Linked DNA regions of Astyanax mexicanus. The protein of the gene in region 2 purifies or fractionates together with the protein of the main gene of each other region. This does not show direct contact. Links are inferred from orthologs where the notes say so. Each region holds a gene or a part of one and is shown on either strand. Other genes may lie near its edges.

Evidence for each region. Proteins that work in one complex are often made in the same cells at the same time.
Region 1: the proteins of relb (region 2) and nfkbie purify together in Homo sapiens (affinity purification with mass spectrometry; 3 studies listed by BioGRID and IntAct, counting the BioPlex papers as one, with this or other methods). This does not show direct contact. The link is inferred for Astyanax mexicanus from reciprocal best matches to the Homo sapiens genes RELB and NFKBIE.

Annotation. Positions count from the first base shown.
Region 1 is NC_064408.1:85,858,462-85,869,879, forward strand, and holds the start of nfkbie (NF-kappa-B inhibitor epsilon), read right to left. Parts: upstream 4,459-11,418; 5' UTR 4,070-4,458; coding exon 3,720-4,069; intron 1-3,719. Other genes in the region: tmem151ba (transmembrane protein 151B), read left to right, coding at 6,991-7,110. UniProt on the Homo sapiens protein: Sequesters NF-kappa-B transcription factor complexes in the cytoplasm, thereby inhibiting their activity. Sequestered complexes include NFKB1-RELA (p50-p65) and NFKB1-REL (p50-c-Rel) complexes.
Region 2 is NC_064425.1:6,567,621-6,578,343, forward strand, and holds the start of relb (transcription factor RelB), read right to left. Parts: upstream 5,325-10,723; 5' UTR 5,025-5,324; coding exon 4,976-5,024; intron 3,922-4,975; coding exon 3,910-3,921; intron 1,956-3,909; coding exon 1,828-1,955; intron 1-1,827. Other genes in the region: proto-oncogene serine/threonine-protein kinase mos, read left to right, coding at 7,533-8,576.

The DNA of each region.
Region 1 (11,418 bases), on a different chromosome or scaffold from region 2:
AATGTAAAAATGTATGAATATCCTTAACTGTATTTCCCACTAATTAATATTATGAGTTATAAGTTAACTATGATTATAAGTAATTATGAGTATAAGTTAACATTTGGAAGGTCAACACCCACTGCTATGTGTTAGATGAAAATACATTTTATTTCATCATCAACGACTCAACGCAGAAGAACTGAATTTTTAACCACTTGGGGCATCCTAACCAGGTCCGGAACAGTAAAAATTTTATTTATCAGCATCAAATGTCTTTACTTGACAGATAGTACAATAACTTGAAGTGTTTCACACATGCACTTCAATGGCAAACAAACCATGAAATGGTACATTTGTGATCACAATGCAATTCAACCAACTCCAAGGATCTGATGTACCCCACATGTTTGAGATTAATGGCTGTTTAAGAAGAGTTTAACCTGATATATCACCCATATAATTAATAAACCTGCGATAACAGGCATATAATTACTACAACTATTAACAAATGGCATCTCTGCTGTTGTTGCATGCTGCTTTGCATTAAAATATGCAATAGTTCAAAACACAGGACCTTCTTCTTGTATTTACTTTTTTGCTCCTGTCCCAGACAGCTTTTACCAATAAATAGAGGGAATGCACTTGAATGGTTTGCTGTAACATATTTTATTTTACTAACAACCTGTCAGCATATCACATGCATTGGGCTACATTTAGCTTGGACCCAACTAAGGAATTAGAAGACTGGCTTGGCTTACACTAACAGCTGAAATTATGGGTATTTTGGATGTTTAGATCTGTTCAGCTGAGGAGATAACTTAGCAATCTGCAGACGTTTAAACAAAAACAGCCACTGAAAACAGTAAAATCACAAAATTTAATGTACCTGATGACCCAACTGACTGTGTATGCAGCCTCTCTTTACAGCAAGAAACAGCTATGCTTAGACATGTCTAAAAGTAGTGTTTCCTCCATTTGGGTCTTTACAGCTGGGTCACCACAACTTACGCAGTAACAGTACTGGAGCGAAAACACATGGCAACCAAAAATAATAATAAAATAATCAATTTACATAAAAAGAAAAAACCTTTGCATGACAACAACAATAAACATATTTATTAATACAGGGAAAGTGATAATAAATAAAAGTGATAATACAAGTAATAATAAAAGTAATTTTGCCTACATAGTAATGCATTACTATTAGCAAAATATTACACTGGATCATTTATCCCTGTACAAGGCATGCAAACGTGTTTAAACCTGGTGTTTATGCTAACAGGGAAAACTTATCTGTATTCCTAACGAGTAAAGACCTGCATCACTGTTACAGTAACATACAAGGAAATGGCTTTGGGTTAAGAGTTGCAGGGGACATATGCCAAATCAACCAACTTCACAATGTATATACACCGTGTACACAGGGAAAAAAGGTGACAAATGGGAGTTTCTAGAAGAACTTTGTTAAAGTCCTAAAATGAAATTCAGCTCCTGAAGTAAGCAAATGTTTCACCCATATGGAATGACAGGGGGATTTAACTGAGTTTCAGTGCTGATGATGACTACAGGGGGAGTGAAGTAGAAAAAGTTTCCTCTTGGCCCAGAAACAGAGACAGCGGAAATAAAAACAGGTCATACTGGCCACACACACACACACACACAGACTATCACATTCATACTCAACCTCATTCACACAGGTCACACTAAACATCCGATAAGGTATGTTAAATACAGAGAAAAATGCTGTGAACGTACTAAAGGCTACAGTGATAAGTGGAGTGATCAGAGCTAATGCATTCTGTAGAGTTTGTGTTGTGTTTATCATATATAATAATAATCATATAAATTAATAATTTAAGGTTTAGCACACTGAAATAAACATTTACAGAGAAGCTAATTATGTATTTTGTATGTTGATTAATAATGTTTATCATGTGTGTGTTCTGTAAAAGTAAAATGTGTGTGTGTGCCCTCAACAAAATCTCTTTTTTTTTTTTTTTTACAAAGGGTGGTATGAAAACGCGTTTCCAGCCCAGCGCTGGGGAATTCCACTGTGCGTACTTCTGCTTTCTCACACAGATGCAGCAGCGATAATAGATCCAGTTTCTAGGCCTGTGTGACTGCCTGCAGCTTTCTATCAGAAAACACATTCACTGTGAACCAGTTAATCACACACATGACAGTGAATCATCAAAGATATTTCTCCAGACTGTAAAGCTATGCGGATGAAATCGGTAATGTTAAACCAAACCCATTCATCTTCACAAAAATCAGCCCCCTCTAGCTCCATCTTTGCAGAAACTGAAATGTATCTTTTATACACACAAATAAATAAGACTATTTTATATGTTCCCTCTCTCACACACACAGGTTTTTAACAGTTAACATAAGAAACACTTTTGGTGTAAGGGCTAATTTTAGCCACAGACACAGTTAAACAAAAATAAACCCACACAAGAAGGCACTACTTTCCATGTGCACTTCTAACGCCCTGTTGTTGGGAGGTTTGTGCCAAGTCAGGATGAGCCTACACGAGATAACACAGTACATGCAACCTCTAAATATACAATAACGTGGGGGATAACTGTTTCACTGATGCTTTATATTGAAAACGTGTTTAATTTGGCACTTTATCTCCCACTGAGGCTGGATTCTGGCTTCTTAATATCTGCCTTATGCCTTGGTTTAGCTACAGGACTGTTTTACTGTAGTTCTCTTCTTTCAGTATTCTTAAAAGTTAAATCTTATTTGGACAAGTGTTTTTCCTTAAGTAGTGCTTACTGCAACTCTAATGAACTTGTTCTGTGCAACAGAGGTAACAGAAAGAGCCAGTTTCATCATAGTGTGAGGAATCTTTCAAAGTTCTTGAATTTTTTTGTAATGACTGACCTTAATTATATATATTTTTTCTTACTTAATTGTGTAGTTCTGTAGTTCAGTATTTAAATAGGACTATTCACTATATACCATCTCTACCCCTTTACAATAATATATATATATATATATATATATATATAGCTCTGGAAAAAACAAGAGCCATTTCAGTTTCTGAATCAGTTTCTTTGATTGTGCTATTTATAGGTATATGTTTGAGTAAAATGAACATTTTTGTTCTGATGCAGAGCTTTCAGACCTCAAATAATGTAAAGAAAACAAGCTCATATTCAAGTTTTAGGAGTTCAGAAATCAATATTTGGTGGAACAACCCTGGTTTTAATCAGTTTTCATACATCTTGTCATGTTCTTCTCCACCAGCCTTACACACTGCTTTTGGCTAACTTTATGCCACTCCTGGTGAAAAAATTCAAGCTGTTGAGCTTGGTTTGATGGGTTGTGACAATCCATCTTCCTCTTAAGTGGCCTCTTATTTTTTTCAGAGCTAAATAAAGATAAACAGAGCCAAACAAAGAGGTGACAAAAAAACATTGGCCTACTTCTTAAGTGATCCAATTAATAAATTAACTCTCGTATGGTTTTACGAACATGTATTTTGAATATTAAATTTGTCTGTATTGAAATCAGTGTATTGAATACTGAATATAATTAATAAAATTATTGATATCTTCTTATTAAAAGCTTAAGTATCGTGATGTTAAACTGCTGTCAAATAACCCAGCCCCAGTGACAGGGTGATCTGAATCCCTCCAGACAGTGTTGTTATCTATCATTATGATGATAATGATCACTGCTGGAGGTAGGGGAGTAAAAGGTCTAAAGATTTAAAGATTAAAACCTACGTGTCTCCGTCTTCTGTGACAGTAGTTAGGAGGTTTTCTTCCTCCTCATCCTCGTCCTCTGTGTTTTCCTCTGTGTTCTGGGAGCTCGGCGTTCCTGAAATGCTGCATTTATCGGGGATGATTTCGCTCAGATTGTCCACGATGGAGGAGGACCCGTAGGCCGAGTCCAGCCGCTCGTCCCCCCCGCTCAGCTTGTCCTGCTCCCCGGGCGCGGAGCTCCCGGCCGCGCCGCTCAACCGCGGCTCGTCTCTGGGTAAAGATCTGAACGAGTCGATACCGGAGTCGATTACGGAGTCAGTCCGATTCTCCTCAGACTCAAACTTGCCCTTCGCCCGGCCGCTCGGCTCCATAGTACCCGAAATAAGCGCTGGTTGTGTCCGGACTCGCAAGCTGAGGATCCGCGCTTCACCTGAACAACATCACCGCCGCGCCATTGTGAAACCAGAGCAGCCCGTCGTCGTGTCTCATGCCCTCCTCCTCCTTCTGCAGCTCCTCCAGCTTCTCTATTCTCTTCCAACGCAGAACTACGGCCTAACTTACACAAACTAAACCCCCGCTACCGCCTGGAGGCACTAACACCTCCGCCTAAACACTTTAACTACCTTAACTTACTGCCTTAAAACACCCGTCTGATCGGAGAGACTCCTCCAACAGACCAGTTTAAACCGCCGTTAAAACTGTGAACTAGTGCCTCCTAAAACTGTCTCACCAGAGAGAGAGAGAGAACCGGGGCCGGGGGCAGGGTTATTCGCCAATGGGCGTGGCCAGACAGACGACAGGCGGAGCTAATGTTCATAAATAGACATGTTGTTACTAAAGTGTGCGGTGTGTGGGCAAGCGAATAGGCGTGGCCTGAGACGAATGTTTGTGTGCAGTTGGGAATTCCCCAGTTCTAATAACACACACACACACCACGGCTGTAACTTCTGGGACAAAGTTAGCTCCATTTTGCACTCTAGTCTCATCAGGATAGACAAGAGTTGCAAAAAAAATGCTAAAAAAAGGAGGGAAATGTATAAATGCATGTATCAAAACTATATAAACGTAGCTTTATTTTGCAGTGTAGTCTAAATGAGGCTAAACATGAGGCTAAACAGTGAACTACTTAAGCTATATGAACAAATATATTAATGTATGGCGCAATAGTAGCCTATAGTGCATGCAAGTGACTCCTAATCACAAGGTTTGGTGTTTGAGCCATGCCAGGGTCATGAGTGTCCTTCAGAGGATGTGGTGAAGCATAGTGGGTGACCACCCCAATCTCACTGAGGCAGCCTTAAAGCTAAAGTTTGCAAAATGGTAAGATGAGGAAAATCACACTTCTGCGTTGCTGTGGCACACTCAACAGTCTGGGAGCAGGTCTCTGTGTTTCCAGCAGGGGGAGCTCCTAAGAAGCTGCAAAATATATGTGGCCAAAATATTTCAATTCACTACTGAAGCTTTATTACAGTTTTACATACACCATAACTCTAAAATGTTATATGAAACATTTCATACGAATGCTTTTGTCTTTAGAACACTTTTAGAATTATATTAGAATGTCATTGAAAAGCTTTTAGAAAAAAAAAATTCTTACATTATTTTATTAAAATCTCTTTAAAACTACTTAACACTATACTTTACTGCACTTTAGAACACTCTTAGATTGATGATAGAAAGCCCTTAGAACGTCCTCTTAATATATCCTAGAATTATTTTAAAATGTCTTTAGACATCTTTCAGATTAATAAGTTAATGTCTTTTTGCATGGCGTTTTTAGGACAAAAAATATTTTTTGGTTGTCTTCCTGAGTGGGCAGAGGGCAAATTATATAGTAATATATATTATATAAAAGACAAAAAATATATTCTAAATACAAGTACTAAGTACTTTTTTTCTGGCTAGCCACTTATTCTGCATGATGACAGGGAGGGCCAGGTTTGGTTACTTTGTTTTGGAATGTCTGGTGCAGTTAGTTATAGGGTGTCACAGTAACTGAAAGAAGAGGAGGAATTAACTTTAACAGCACAGTTTTGAATACACCACAGAAAAATGACCACCTCCTTCCACAGAAGAGGATCTGGGTCTACAGTTGATGGCACAGCACCTCTTCTCTGGAAGGCAGTGAATATAAGCACTCCCCTCTTTGCGTGTGTTGTGTGTGAAAGCTGGTTAGCTGTGCAGTAAATAGCTGTAAATATGGTTAAATACTGATATTTTATGATCAGTATGCATAAGGTGTGCATAAGTGCAGAGTGCATAAGGTGGACGAATAAGGTGAATAGGCCTAACAGCTTTTGCTGTTTACCTGAGCAACCATGGTACTGCTAATGGTGCTGATACAATAGCTACAGTGAACATGGAGATATCAGAACAGCAAACTCAGTCTACACCTGCTTTTTCATTTACATGTGAGGCATTTAGCTGACACTCTTATCCAGAGTGACAAGGTTATTTCTATTACAAAGGCTGGTCAATGTTAGGAGTCTGCACCAAGGACTCTTATTGGTGTAGCACAACATAGTCACCTAGATTGAATTGAATCCTAGTCTACCACATGATGTGGTAGCTCACTGACTGGGGCTGGTGTTATCCACTGCGCCACACCAACCACAACGCATTGCATTAAACAAAAGAAACGCAGAATTAAAACTGAAGACAGCTAACGATTTAAAAGAGTAAAAAAGAAGACTGTGTCACAATGCATGTATTGCAAGGAAGTTTTAGCATGATGGGTGTTGTTACACATTCTAACGTTAATTAAAAACTAGTGGACTGACACTTTTAAGATGCTGCTGGAGTCGCCTTTTGAGCACACCTTTATGTCTGTGCTCCGCTCGAGCTCCTCCCCCTCCTCTCATCATTCCCATTCAGCGTCGTGGCGGAGCGGGCGCGCGCGCACGTGCAGCTCCGCGCTGTGTGTTTTTTCACTGATCGTTATTAATCGGCGCGCTGCCGCTCTCACACCAGGCTACACCTCCTGCTCGCTGGAGCTGAGCGCTGTGGTGCAGGAGCTGCAGGAGCTGCAGAAGGTGCAGGAGGGCCCCAGGCTGCGATGCTCCTTCTTTTGATCAGTTCAGTTCAGTCCTGAAGGAGGATGAGGTGCTGCTGTAGGATGGCGTTCACACATGCAGCGCGTGCAGCTGTTCTGCTCTGAAAGCACATGGCAGCGTTTTCTGAGCTGTTTTTCTGTGTGTCAGTAAGCGGTGGGCTACTGGTGCTGCTGCTGCTGCGCTGACCGTCCCCTCGTGCGAGCTCTGTGGATGATGCATGGCCCCCTGCCCGCACAGACATGTCACCAGCATCGGCCGCCCCGGCCACGACCACGGCTACGGCTACAGCTACGACCACCGCTAGCAGCCCAGCCGCAGCTCCAGCTTCGGGAGACGAACCGGAGAGTCCCCGCGAGGAGGTAAGACACACACAAAGAGAGACAGAGAAAGTCTTACTGTACTGGTATATACATGTATAATGCATTGCCTTCCCTGATAGCAGTGCTGTGCTTTTTCCCATATATTTTGTCGCATGCGTTTGTGTTTGCATTACTTTTTTTTTAAATCATGCCATTCATGATTATTATTTATGTGCATACCCTTCTGTTTCATCACTACGTGCCAGGGAAAAAAAGCTGGCGTATTGAAAAAAAAAGCTGGCGTGGATCATCTCATCTCATAATCACGTCTGATTAATTATGACTGAACAAAGCACAGGAGGACAGGTGACTGATCTCAGCACATCACCCCCTCTATAAACAAAGAGAAGCAGCCCTGCCACGTTTAAAGCACTGCTATCAGTCTGTTCCAGTTCTAGTGGAAAGCCTGCATGCATGATGAGAACTAGACTGTACAAAAGGATGTGCAGGAGAATTATTATTTGTTTTTACACTTATTAGTTATCAAATGCATTATAAATCCATTCAATCACAGTTAGGGAATGTATACTTCATGCACACTCACTGAGCATTTTATTAGGACACCAGCCAATCTATAGTTTCAGCAGGTCGAATTCATCTAGTTATTGACCAGCAGCTTTAAGTAATGTTCACATCAACCATCAGAATGAGGGAAAAAAAATCCAATTTCATTGATCTCACTCATTTTGAGAGTGCCCTGATTGTTGCCTGGGAGGTTGGTTTAAGTATTTCTGGAACTGCTGATATGAAGAATTCACTCAGAGTGGTGAAATAAAGAATAAACATCCAGAAAATCCAGTGAGCAGCAGTCCTGCATACAGAAAGACATTTTTGATAAGACAGAAAGTAGCCAAAAGAGAAAGACCAGCCTGATTTTAGTTGAAAGAAAAGCTACCATAATTCATATAACTACTAGGTGGGTGGTCTACAACAGCAGAAGAGCACACTAAATTGCTCTCATCTGTAAGCCAAGAACAGAAAGCTGAGGCTGCAGTGGACATTGGCTCAGCAGAACAGAACAACTTCTTGTTGCTGACCAGGTGCATCCCTACATGACCACAACTTACCCATCTCCTTTTAGCCAATTCCAGGATGATAATAAGATCATGTCACAAAGCTTTCAAACTTGGTTTATGAACATGACAATGAACAGTTTGTATGTGAAAGGATGGGATACTCTCCAGGAACTGAATGACACACTCACATCAACCTTGACTCTTAGAGGAATGAGGAATCTTAGAAGAATGTTTCCAACATCTTGTGGAATCCATTCTGTCCAGTAACTATACAGTTATAATGTTCCTATCAGCTTAGTGAGTAAAGGAGCTTAGCATTATATATATATATATATATATATATATATATATATATATATATATATATATATATATATATATATATATATACGTATATATATATATATATATATATATATATATATATATATATATATATATATATATATATATATACTCTTTCTCCATACAGCAATAGCTTACAACTAATTTGCACAAATTTTCTCTTACATAAATCATACATTTATATATTGGATCACCCAAGATGTGTCTGATGTCTGAAGTTTGTATCAACAAGATTTTGGGCTTGAATCCATGTTTATAGATAGATAGCTGTGAGTCACTCAGTATCATAAACCACATTCACAGGGCCATTAGAGATCATGTGGTTAGAGATTCCCATTCAAAAGGGAGAGCCTTTAGTGTTTTTTAGCAAAGGAGATATTGGGCTGAGATTGCTTAAATGCTGCTGTACCAAACATAAGAATGGACAAGCATGGCAAGATTTGGCTCCAGAAACAGCTCTCTCTAGGGACAGTCTGGAGTTCACCCACAGTGATGTGATAAACAAAAAAAACATCCAGTGAGTGGCAGATCTGCAAGCAGAAGCATTCGGTTAATGAGACAGGTTAGAGGAAAAATTTACCAAAGGCCATGAATACCCAAGTAGGCATTACACAAAAGTGGTGAACTGAAGGGCACATCTCCATGCAGTGTTAAATCATGAAGCAGATGGTCTTCAGCAATGGAAGACCATGGTGGTCTCATTCATGCTGAGATCAGAAAGACTACAGGATGCAGTTAATCATGAAAAACTAGATGACGGAAAATTGGAGAATTGCTGCTCAGTCTGATGTGTGTTGATTTCTGCTGCCACAGGCAGATGGCAGGTCAGATCTTGGCAGACACAGCATGAATCCTTGGATCCCTCCTGCCTTGTGTCCACAGCACAGACTGTTGATGGGGTAATGGTGTGGGGCAAGCACTCCAGAATAAGGGGGAGGCAGAGGGATATTTATTATTATGCTACCCATTCTGTTGCATCAATAAGAGAAATGCAGATTGAAGACTGAAACTAAACACTGATCATCACTGACAAAAACAGGATGCTCCCATTTAACAAACATGATGATACTTATTTGCCTAATGTGTCTGACCTTTAAACAGCTGGATTGTATTCATAAACCTTATCTGTCTACTGAATATTTGCACATTTTTCACTACAAAGAAATTGAGAATAGATGGAGATTAAACTGGGACCATTTTTTTGGCAGTTTAAAGGGATACCTCAAAAGATGAGGCAAATACCAAAAACATTTAGGACCATGCTTTTTTAAAGTGTATTCTCTCTTACAGCAGCAAAGGGTACAGTCACCCCTAAGAAGTAAGAAAATCAAGCGCCATAAAATGATAATCAGTTCCTTCAAATCAAAGCAGTCAAAGAGGTAACCGTGACAACCGAGGAAGTGGGGGATGAGGGCAAGCCCCATCTGTAATGGAGAAAATCTCAGCTAGCTTAAAGACCCTCACTAATACTATGTTTCATTTGAAGGTACACTATGATGTGGTTCTGGAAAAAAAAACACTTTAAAAGAAGGGTTTTTATATATATTTTATATATATATATATATATATTTAATCATATCATGATATATTTTGTCATGGGTTAAATGTAATTACGTACTTATGTACTTTACTGTACATTATTAATAAAAAATTACATAAGTGTAGGATTACATAAGTGTAGGATTTGATTAGTGCTTTTAACTATCTCCTGCTACTAATGCATTCTGTTTCAAAATGTGATAATACATATTGTGTATTTTAAAAATGTTTTTAAATATCATATATATTTTACCAGCCCTTTTTTAAAGTCAGATGGAAAATTATGCATTAGGGCTGCACAACAAGAAGATATTGTTTCTGAATTTTTGTACATTTTTGGGGAAAAAGTTGCATAATACAGTCACAATACAATTCAGATTATTCTCATTTACCAGGATATATCTACAAGGCAGTCTCATTTTATATGCCTAGTATAATTTATTTGACTCTAGTCTTCAAATATTATCACATGCTGGATTATTGACTTCTGGTAAAATGTAGTCAAACATCCTGTATTTTTTAATATTGATATACAATATATAATTAAATAAATAAGAACACTGCTCTTTCAGTATTAAGACTTAGCTAAGGTGCTAAGGCAAAAAAGGCAAAGGTCTGAGGAAGCATCACTCTCAAATCCATTCCAAAATTGCAATATATATAGCAAAATATAAAATATATATAACCAAAAAATATTGCAATGTCGTTTTTTTTCATCCAGTATCATGCAGTCCAATAATGCCTTCAAATAAAAGCAAATCTAACAGATAAACTTGACAACCAAAGCAGTGGAAAATGCTATAAAATTTGTATGCAAAATGATGCGCTCAATGGAACGCAAATCAAAGGGGTATCCATGACAACTGGGTCAGTGGGGGTCCATGCTTAAAGATACATTCTTCAGTATAGTACATGGCCTAGGGAAGGTTTCCCTGACATGCCTTAGGCTAATCAACAACAACTCTGCATCATTCAGAGATGACATACTGTGTTTAAGCGCTGATGCCATAGCTGACATGTGTCCCTTTATGACCCTCTGTAAATGGACATGTCCAGCAGGATTACAGACCATGACATAAAGCACACATCATCTCCGGCTGCTTCCACCAGCGTGACAGTCACTCCACTTTACTCCAGAACTCATCCGGAGCAGTTCTCCATTAAATTAAAGCTCTTTGGGAAGAGGAGAATGTGAGGTTTTCAGTTTGAGTGTATGTCTGAACAATCTGCAGGAACAGGGTGACATCATCAGAACAACCTTACATTCCAAGAGATACAAGAATAATCTGAATTCACACAGCCACTGCTTCGAAATCAGCACTTCATCCTGAGAATGTGTCTGACATTTTTTCTAACAATTCACAGCTACACACATGTGGGGGTGTTAACAAATGAGGTGTGAAAAAAA
Region 2 (10,723 bases):
TAGGAGAAAAAGGGGGTTACACTCCTAATTACACAGTAAATATGTATAAACATTAGAAAAGGGTTTGTTAATTATTATTTTGTGATATCTATATTGTCCATTATAGATTAATATGTGAATTTGTGACATGGTATCATTATTTAAAAGAATTTACCACTACAAAACTGGGTTTGGATCCAGGGTTGGATAATAAATAACAATATTACATAGCATCATGATAATTAAAGTCATTTTAATTACACAATACAAATTACATTCTAATTACATTGAATTAATTAAAATATTTTTTTCAAAGTGTTAAGGCTGGTTAATACTTCTGCATCTAATCAAAGCATTGCCCATATGGTGTAGCTTGTGCGAGCACCCTACGCAGCTGGGAGCGTTTATACTTCTGCGTGCGTACGTCTGCATCTCTGCGTCGCTCTACATTTTAAATTACAGACCAAACTTTATGATTTATGACAATTTTCAGTGTAAATGTACATGTAACATGTAACTTCCCATGTAACTTCAGTAGCACTGCAGAGGTACATTTAAGACTGGATTAAAACATTATTAAATAGTTCTACTTAGGAAAATGTGTGGGTGTGGATGGTTTGTCTACTGGGATATAAAAAAGATACTTTTTTCAAACTGTAGTTTCATAAAATCTTTTTTTACATGAAAGGAAGACAAAATAAATTTAAGCTATTTAATCGCCTCTACTGGAGTGATTATTTGCACTTGGGCACATATCATTTCACCCCTTAACTTAAAACTTTACAGTGCAGATTACCTTAATGACTTAATCTTAGGAGTAAATTAGGTAAATAAGCACTTAAATAAGTATATAGGTAAATAAGCACTAATAAGATTTTAGGATGCGGAATGCATTCAAATACATCTAATATTTAGGTGTAAATAAGTAAAAGAGAGGTTCTAGTTGCTAAATTGCAAAAATAAAATCCAGTATTAAAAATGTAAATTTCCAATATTGTCACCATCACCTTGTATCTAAATGTTTGTTGTCTTTCATTTTTACATGATTTGAATTGGGCAGCAGTTATTTAAATTGTGCCAAAACGTCATGATTAATGGACCAAAAGGCATGACAAAACCTGGAACAAACTCTTTTTACATTGACTTCCATAGAAATATTTTTGTGATAGTACACACTGCTACTACATACACCTGGGTGAAAATAGCTTGTGCCTTAATTTATTTAATCAGTGATGGTAAAATTAGGATTGCTAAACACAAAATCCATGAAAATAGGTGGCATTTTATGAGCTGGTCCAAGTTATATACAATCGACTGACATCTGCCTTTGGCCACATACTTTTTTCTACAGTTTTTACATTTCCATTTTGATTCAAGGCCAAATCTTACATCAGCATATTTTCAATATTACTGTGAATCAAACGGATACTACATTCCGTTCAAACGTCAAAATGTTTTAGTTCCAAGTGGAAAATGTGAACTGTAAGGCTCCCACAGCTTGAAATTCCCACTTAGAAAGTCAGCCAGAAAGAGAGCCTCGCCAATAATCAATATTCAAATTTAATATGGCCAGCAGTAGTAGTAAAGCAGCATTAATATTCTGTTTAATAGCACTTCTATTTATTTGTCTCCCTTTAAATTTATCATTCACACTTTACTGTCCAACTTTTATCTGTGGATATGTGTGTAGTAGTTTGAACAAGCAAAATACTGCATAATGTTTTGTTAGCACATTGGAATCGCTAACAATGCTAACACAGGACAATGCTAAACGAAATAGTGTAAAATTATCGATTTGACTAACTAGAATGGCATAAACTCAAAAAGCAGCTCTGGCCTGATACTGACCTGTGGGGAGTCTGTGCATCTAGAGACGAGCACTGGCCCATTACTTATTTCTGTAGGAGTAAGAGAAGGAGGAGGAGGAGGTCCAGGGAGTTTAAATCCGCTCTCAACAATGAACTCGTTTATTTCATCTGATAAGAGATGACAGCAAAAACAACAAGAATGATAACAACAACCAAATTAGTTTTAGGTAATGATGCAGCATGGCCCTTACACAGGGATAAATGCATCTTGCATTATGAAAAAAAGTCACATATGACATATAGGGTTGCACATTGATTTCAAAATTATATTGGAATTGGATGATAATTGCATTTTTTTAAATCATTGAATAATTTAAGGCCAATATTTAAAACCAATACTTGCTGATGTGTTTATTGTATGCAAGCAATTCTGGATGCTATACTACAACTGCCCAACACTGACCATGCTATTTTAAGATGTACTTATTTATTTGTTTATTTTTCTACTAGTTTTAAATGATAAAATTAAACTCTTTGTATTGTTATGAATGTGTATATTGGTATCACCACTTATGTACATGTGTTATATTGGATATCATTATTGGTCCAAAATTTCCACACTGATACATCCCTAATGGTATATTTTCATATGGCTACATGTTTCCATTTTTATGTGTATTATTTTATTTTACATTTAAATATCCATTATTAAAATATTTATTAAAAATGTGATTAATCATGATTAATCATGTTAAATTGTGCAATTAAATTGTTATTTTCTTATTATTAAAACTGTACGTATTAACGATACACCTAAGTGAACTTGTAAATGTTCTAATCCATATTATGATGTGAAAGACTCAACTAAGTAATGCAAAAATTACAGGTACTTTAAGAAATGAAGGTCAGTCAATTTGAAAAATGTCAAGAAAGAAAGAAAGTACTCTCAAGTGCAGTCACAATGATAAGTTCATCATCGGAAACCGCAGATTAACAGCACCCCGGATAAAAGACCACCTAGTATTTTTGTTCAACACTTTTAAGTTACTACATGATTTCGTATGTGTTCCTTCATAGTCTGGAATTTAATACACTTTAGTATTCAATTAAAATGTAAGGAAAAATCACTTTATAAAATGAATGTGTTAGTGTGATTTCTAGTTTAATTCATTTTATGGTATTAAAGAGAAAATAAATGTTAAAATACATGTCATGGTAATTGTATATATTTTGTGTTGAGTGTTTATGATGAAGTAAGTTTTGTGGGCTTGATGTGTGGGTTATGTTAGTAGATATGGTGGGGGTTAAAAGCAATGTGGGCGGAGTTCCTGAATGTTGTATAGTGTGTCGAGATGGTATTTTTTTATATAATTATTTATTTTAATTTGCTCTTTTATGTTTATTGTGGGAAGTCTGAATTAATGTGAGCTTCTGAGAGTGTATGCCACTATGCACTTTACCGATTTAATATAATGCGCTTTATTGTTTTAAATGTATTAATTTGTTTACTCATGTGAACTGATCTGCCTCTATTACACAAATGTTTTTTTTTTACAAATAAGAATTTGCTCTTATTTAACTAGCCTAGGCCTTACATTCTTGTTATTTTTATTATTATTATTATTATTAGGTTCAAGATTCAATAAATTGTATTTTTTACACATCACAAAGTACAGGTGTACATGTGAGTGAAAGACTTGGGTGCAGGTTCCCACTAGTATGTAGAGAACAATGTTTACAACAAAGTACAATAATAAGTTAAAATAGAAATATATAGTTAACTTTACAGTATACATAATATACACAATACACACAATAACTTACAGACTATAGACATACAGACATATGGTACTGCACGGAAATATGTTAAATATGACTAAAAAATATGACTGAAAAATGCAGATATCTATAGTGCGTGTGTGGAAGTGAGGAAATGGTCCAATAGATGAACTAGATGAATAGAGTAAAGTGCAGGTACAGAAAGAGTTGTGTGAGAAGTTGTTATTATTATTATTATTATTATTATTATTCAATTTCGTTTATTAATACATTCAAAATAATAGAGGCTGGTATACTGTATAATATTAAATGTAAAATGATATGATAAAAATGGTCCACTTACCAAGGTCGAGAGCTGTGGAGGAGAAAAACAGCACCAGTTAAATCCACAGACTAACAGACAAGGAAAGTGAAACTGAAAGTCTTAACAGCCCTGCGGGCTAACAGACAACAACACCATTCTATTCCTACACAATAAACCGCACCAGTCCCAGATGAGGTAGAATAAAGCATATACAGCATGTGAATTGATTGAATTGAGCTGATTTGCCTCTTCTAGATCACGCAATGCTGTGTAACGTCAATAGTAGGAACTAGTATAGAGAAAAGACGGAGCACCATGACTAGGCATAGTTAGCTCGGTTACCTATTCTAGCTAATAATAAGCACATTATAATAATAATAACAATAAAAATAAACATTATACACCTAATTAGAGACTAATTTATATCTGATTATTTAAGGGTTTGTTTTTTAAAGCCAGATTTTTCACTTTTAAAACTAATAGTAGTGAATCCGGGACCAGAAAAGTAAAATCCGCCCCAGAATCCAGGTCCAGAGATTAGCTAGAAATCCATTCCAGGATTTTGTCTTAACTGCCAAAGAAAGCTGCGCTGCAGCGCCCAGGAGCCACGCTTTCTTAGGCGGTTGGAACAAAATCCTGGAATGGATTTATAGCTAATCTTTGGACTTGGATTTCACGCCTATGTCAAAACGACATAAATACTAACATTCATCGTTTATTATTATTATTATTATTATTATTATTATTATTAATTTACGCTTTTTAATACCAATAAACACACTGTAGACAGCCGGATAGTGCTGTAAATGAATTGATATATTTATGAAAATGCTTAAATTCACAAATAGATACATTTATAAATACATATTTTTTCTACATAAAATCTACCAAAAACGTACAACTATATTATTATGGTTTGTATAATTTAGGAAAAAAATATGACATAAAACCTCCATGGCTAACTTTACTTCTTACAAAACGTGTCTTTCCCAACCTACATGCGCACAGCTAGCCTTAGCGCGCGCACAGAGTAAACAAGCGTTTACAGACCTTTTACAGACTTTTATCGACACGTTTATAGATGTTTTAGCTCGCTGTCACTTACCGCCAGTGCCTAGGGTACCGTTGCGAGCTGGTCCGTTCATATTTCTCATGGCAGGTGAAGGACTAGGCTGGTAAAACAGGGTTAGTCTGGTACTGGGCTGAGGTCCGGTTAGCTGGGTTATGTACTCATTGGAGCTGTACTAAAGGTCGGTGACTGCGGCTCTGAGTCTCTGCAGCGCTGCTGTACTTCTGCTTCTGCCCGTGTATCAAAATAACTCACGTTTTCTACCAAATTCGTTTCACTTTGTGCCTCTTCTAGCCCGAGCTGACCGGGTGGAAATCCCCCTACGTCACTGCTGGGAAACCCCCCCGCGAGTCGGCGCAGTAAGAGCGCGCGGTAACAGGTGAGCTGCAGCACGAAGGGCCCGAGGATCAAAACAAGAAAACGAGAGATGGAAACATGCCCCTAAATGGCTGCGCTGAAACATGGTAGACAAATAAGAGTTTCGTGAGGAAAGCACCTTCTAATGAACTGTTTGTGGGGTCACACTTTTTAAAGATTAAATGATATTATCAGGGACTGTAAGGGATATATATATATATGGGCGGGCCCTTAACACAGCTCTGGATAAAATTAAGAGAGCACTTCAGTTTCTGAATCAGTTTGTCTGATTTTGCTATTTATAGGTTTATGTTTGAGTAAAATTAACTTTGTTGTTTTATTTTATAAACCACTTTAGAGCGTTTATTTGCAGAAAATGAGAAATATTCAATATTTCAATATTTAGTCGAATAACCCTGCTTTTTAATCACAGTTTTCATGCATCTTGGCACGTCCTCCACCAGTCTTACACACTGCTTTTGGGTAAATTTAGCCATTCCTGGTGCAAAAATTCAAGCAGTTCAGATTGGTTTGATGGCTTGTGATCATCCATCTTCCTCTTGATTATATGTTTTAGAGGTTTTTCAATTTGATAAAATCAAAGAAACTAAAATATTTTTAGGTATAGATTTAAGGGTTTGTATTGAATTAAACGTAAATTAAAGCCAGATTTTTCATTTCTAAAAACTAATAGGTATGAATCCAAAAAAGTCCAGAAAAGAATATGCTGTTAAGTAGCAATGGATTTTTTTTTTTACCTTAACGCCTTTGTATGCAGTACAAAGGATCTTGTCTGGAAAACTAGACAATAGAGGCATTCAAAAACTTTTGTCCGGTTGCGTGTATGTATGTATGTATATATATATATATATATATATATATATATATATATATATATATATATATATATATATATACATACATACAACAATAAGTCTGTATGTATGTATATATATATATACATACATACAAACAATAAGTCTGCATATGTTCCTGTATAGATTTAATGTCTTTATATATATATATATATATATATATATATATATATATATATATATATATATATATATATATATATATAAAGACATTAAATCTATACAGGAACATATGCAGACTTATTGTTTAACAAATATACTAAACAAAATGTAATTAACAAAACATATGTTTTATACTTTAGATTCTTCTAAGTAGCACATTTATCTTTGAGGACAGATCTGCACACTCTTGGTATTTTAATATATTATATAATAATATATAAAGCTCAAAGTTATAGTGTGTGAATGCAGACAGCACTAAAACAGTCTGTGTGGGTTTTTGGTTGTGTTTTAATGATGTGTGATGGACAGAGTAGTAGGTCAAACAAACAGTTGATGTTTAAGGTGGGATGAGACTTTCAGTGTGCGATTCTGAATGATAATTTTGACGTTTATGACATCAAAATTATCGTCACAGCAGCGTGATAGTAAAAAAAAACATAATTATCTTAAATAACCATTAAATAATATATTAATTATAACAATATCATTTAATTACAATAAATAATAACTGAAAAACAGTAAAACAGAGCATAATATCTCTACGTGTTTTCTGCCCTCTGGTGGATAATCTTTGTAAACAATCTCAGGTTGTATTTCCTAAATGCTTGGCTGTATTACAAAATAAAAGTCATAGGCTTGTTGTTTAATAATAATAAAAAAATAATAATAATAGTTAATCAATTAATAGTTAATAGAAAATCAAATAAACTTTCTGTTTCTGGCAAGATGCTATAAAGGGCATGGAGCATGCCCTTACAGCAAGGAATTGGAATCAAGCAAACCAGGGGTGATTATAGGATCAAAGTTTCTCTTTTTTAAATTAAAAAAATACATGTTGATTAATATCTATGTGTTCAATTTGAGACGGGTGATATGGCACATTGTTTAGATTAAAAACAAAAATGGACTGGAAATAAATGGAAAGGAAAACACTTATTTCTTGTACACTGCACTACATTTAAAAAAAATAAATAATGGAGATTTTACATCCATTTTTTGTAAATTTACATTTAGCCTCCAATTGTCAGAAAATTAAATTAATAAACGTTACACTGACACTTGAAGGTTAGTTTAATAATAATAAACAAACAGAGTTTGACCCAGTTTGACCCTAGCGGTCACGTGACATCTACAAAAGCACGCACGTGACATATAGGAGGCAAATCCAAAATGTTAGAAGGCGCTGCTGCTCTCCCGCCATGCCTTCTCCCATCCCCGTTACCCGTTTGCTGCCACGAGGCTTCGGCCTCGACCTCGGAACCCTCAGCAGCCCGCTAAGCAGGCGCGCGGGTGCATCATCCTCCCTGCGTGTGCCCACCGCTACCCACGGAAAGCTCGCTCAGAGACTCTGGTCGTCGGCGGTGCAGTGGCGCGAGCTGCACGAGCTGGAGCCCATTGGCTGCGGGGGCTTCGGCATGGTGTTCAAAGGCACGTACTTTGGAGAGACGGTGGCGGTAAAGCGCGTGCGGCGGGCGAGGAACACGCTGGCCTCGCGCCAGAGCTTCTGGGCCGAGCTGAACGCGGCGCACCTGCGCCACGACAACCTGGTGCGCGTGATTGCGGCCACGACGATGATGCCGACGACTACAATTAAGACTGCGACGGCTTGTGCGCGCACTGGGGACAAGAACCAAGAGGAAGATGATCAGGGGCGCGTGGGCACCATCGTGATGGAGTTCGCGGGAGACGTCAGCCTGCAGCAGGTGATCTACGGGGCGGGGCCGCTGCCCCCCGAGCTGTGCGTGCGCTACGCATCCGACGTGGTGTGCGCGCTCCGTCACCTGCATGCGCACGGCGTGGCGCACCTGGACCTAAAACCCGCCAACGTTTTGGTGTCGCGCGCGGGCGTGTGCAAGCTCGCGGACTTCGGCTGCTCGCTGCAGCTCGGGCGAGACCACGCGGCGTGCGCCCTTGAGATCGGCGGCACGTACACGCACCGCGCGCCCGAGCTGCTCCGCGGCGAGCGTGTGACTGCGCGCGCCGACGTCTACTCGTTTGGGGTCACTCTGTGGCAGCTGCTCACGCGCGATGTGCCGTACCGTGGCGAGCGGCAGTGCGTCATCTACGCCGTGGTAGCGTACGGTCTGCGGCCGCAGCTGGACCGGGACGTGTTCCACCGGAGCTCCGCGGGGCGCGCGTGCGCAGAGCTGGTGAGCTGCTGCTGGAGCGCGGAGCCGAACCTGAGACCGAGCGCCGAGCAGCTGCACTCGGACCTGCAGCAGATCTCCCTTCTAGTGTTTTAGTCTTTCATTCTTCTGCTGTATTATCTCTCCTGCTTACTGTTAACTCTGTAAATACTGTGAAGAAATGTTTAAATATGGTTTGTAAATACATGTGCAGTTTTATATGTTTCCAAAGATTATAATTAAACTTTAATGTTATTTTTATTACTCTAAGATTGAGTCCTGCGTTGTTGTTATATGCGAAATTCATACATATAATCTAACAGTCAAAATGTGGATGCACCTTCTTATTCTATGTTAATTCTATGATTTTTATGCCCTACATTGTAAATATAATACTGAAGTAATCCTGAATATGAAGAAAAACAAGGAATCATGTACATTTAAGAAATCTATACCCTCCATGGCATGGTGTAGGTTGCCCTTAAGTAACAAACCACTTTTTGGTTATTTAAATGTTAAAAAATAAATAAATAAATAAATAAATAAATATATATATATATATATATATATATATATAAGGGTTCTTCAAAAGTTCTTTGGTGAAGGTAATAGTTCTTCATAGAACCATTAACACTCAAATAACCCTTTTTTGGTACTATATAGAACCCTTTTTTCTAAGTGTATACAGGATGTAAAAATGGTCTCAGACTGGAGCACCTGAGCTCAGGACATTTACAATGACCATTATTAACCAAAGGCACCCAGCAAAATATATAAATAATGAAAGAAAAAAAACAACAAAACTAAACCAAAAACAAGAAATGAAAACAAATTCCTACACAAATAAATCAACCAAAAGAAAACAATTCTTAATGTTTTATATTATAATTCAAATGACTGGAGAAATGTGTAGGAATGGTGTATAGATTTTGTGTATAGATTTATTCAGATTTAATTATTCCCTAAAATTGATAAATTACATAAGGCTATAATCGTACCTTTTGGTGTGATTTTGGATATTTTATTTCAACTCTTATATTTCATAAGATTATAACTCAAATGAGATGGAAAATGACTGGGTGTGGTGTGTTGTGGGTAACTTCATTCAGATTGGCACAAAAAACACTTGAATTTTCTAAAATTGTCAAATTATGTAAAGCTATAGTCTTACCTTTTGTTGTCATTATGCACATTTTTTGCAACTTTTATATTTCATGATATTAGAATGATATTGAAATGACTGGGAGTGTTGTATTGTCTCTCAATTTATTCAGATAGTCAATAAATAAACACTTTTAACTTATCCCTAAATCTTTCATCTTATAACTCAAATGGCTGGGAAAATGCCTGGTAGTGGTGTATTGTGTTTAATTAATTCATATATGCAATAAAAACACTTATCTTCACCCCCATATTGTCAAATTATGTAAGGGTATAGTCTTACTTTTTGGTGTGATGTTGGACTTTTATTCCAACTCTTAGAATCTTTTATCTTATAACTCAAATGAGTTAAAATGCCTTGGAGTGGTGTGTTGTGTGTAGTTTTATTAACATAGGCAATAAAAAAACACCACAAAATTGTCAAATTACGAAAGGCTATAGGCGTACCTGTAGGTTTTCTGCAACTCTTTTATTTAATGAGATTTTAACTCAAATTAGTTGGAAATGACTTAGAGTTGTGTATTGTGTGTAGTTTCATTTAGATAAATAAAAAATAAATCAAGCAATAAAAAACACCTTAATTTTTTTCCCAAAAGTGTAAAATTATGTACGGTTATAGTCTTACCTTTTGGTGTGATTTTGCACATTTATTCCAACTCAAGAAATCTTTTATATAATAAGTCAAATGAGTTGTAAAATGACTGTGAATGTTGTATTGTGTGTAATTTCATTCAATAAAAAGTAGCTTGTCAGATATGTGGCAGCAAGTCAACATACAGACACTGCTCAAGAGCCTACATTAATGTTCAGATCAAACATTGGAATAGCAAAAAAAAATTGTCAGAGGGATTTGAGTATTTTGGTATTTTTTAGTATTTTGAGTATTATTTTGGAGCTGCTTTTCTACAAGGACAGGAAGTTGATACGTCAATTTTTACAGAAGTATTTTAAACCCTAGTATCTATACTTCTACCTACAGTGTAATGAATGTGTAAACTTTTCTCATCTTTGGACTGTTCTATGCCAAATCAATCAACAAGCTCAACCTAAACATGTTTTGTTTTGCAAATAAATTAAATATGTTTTGTCATATATTAAGATAA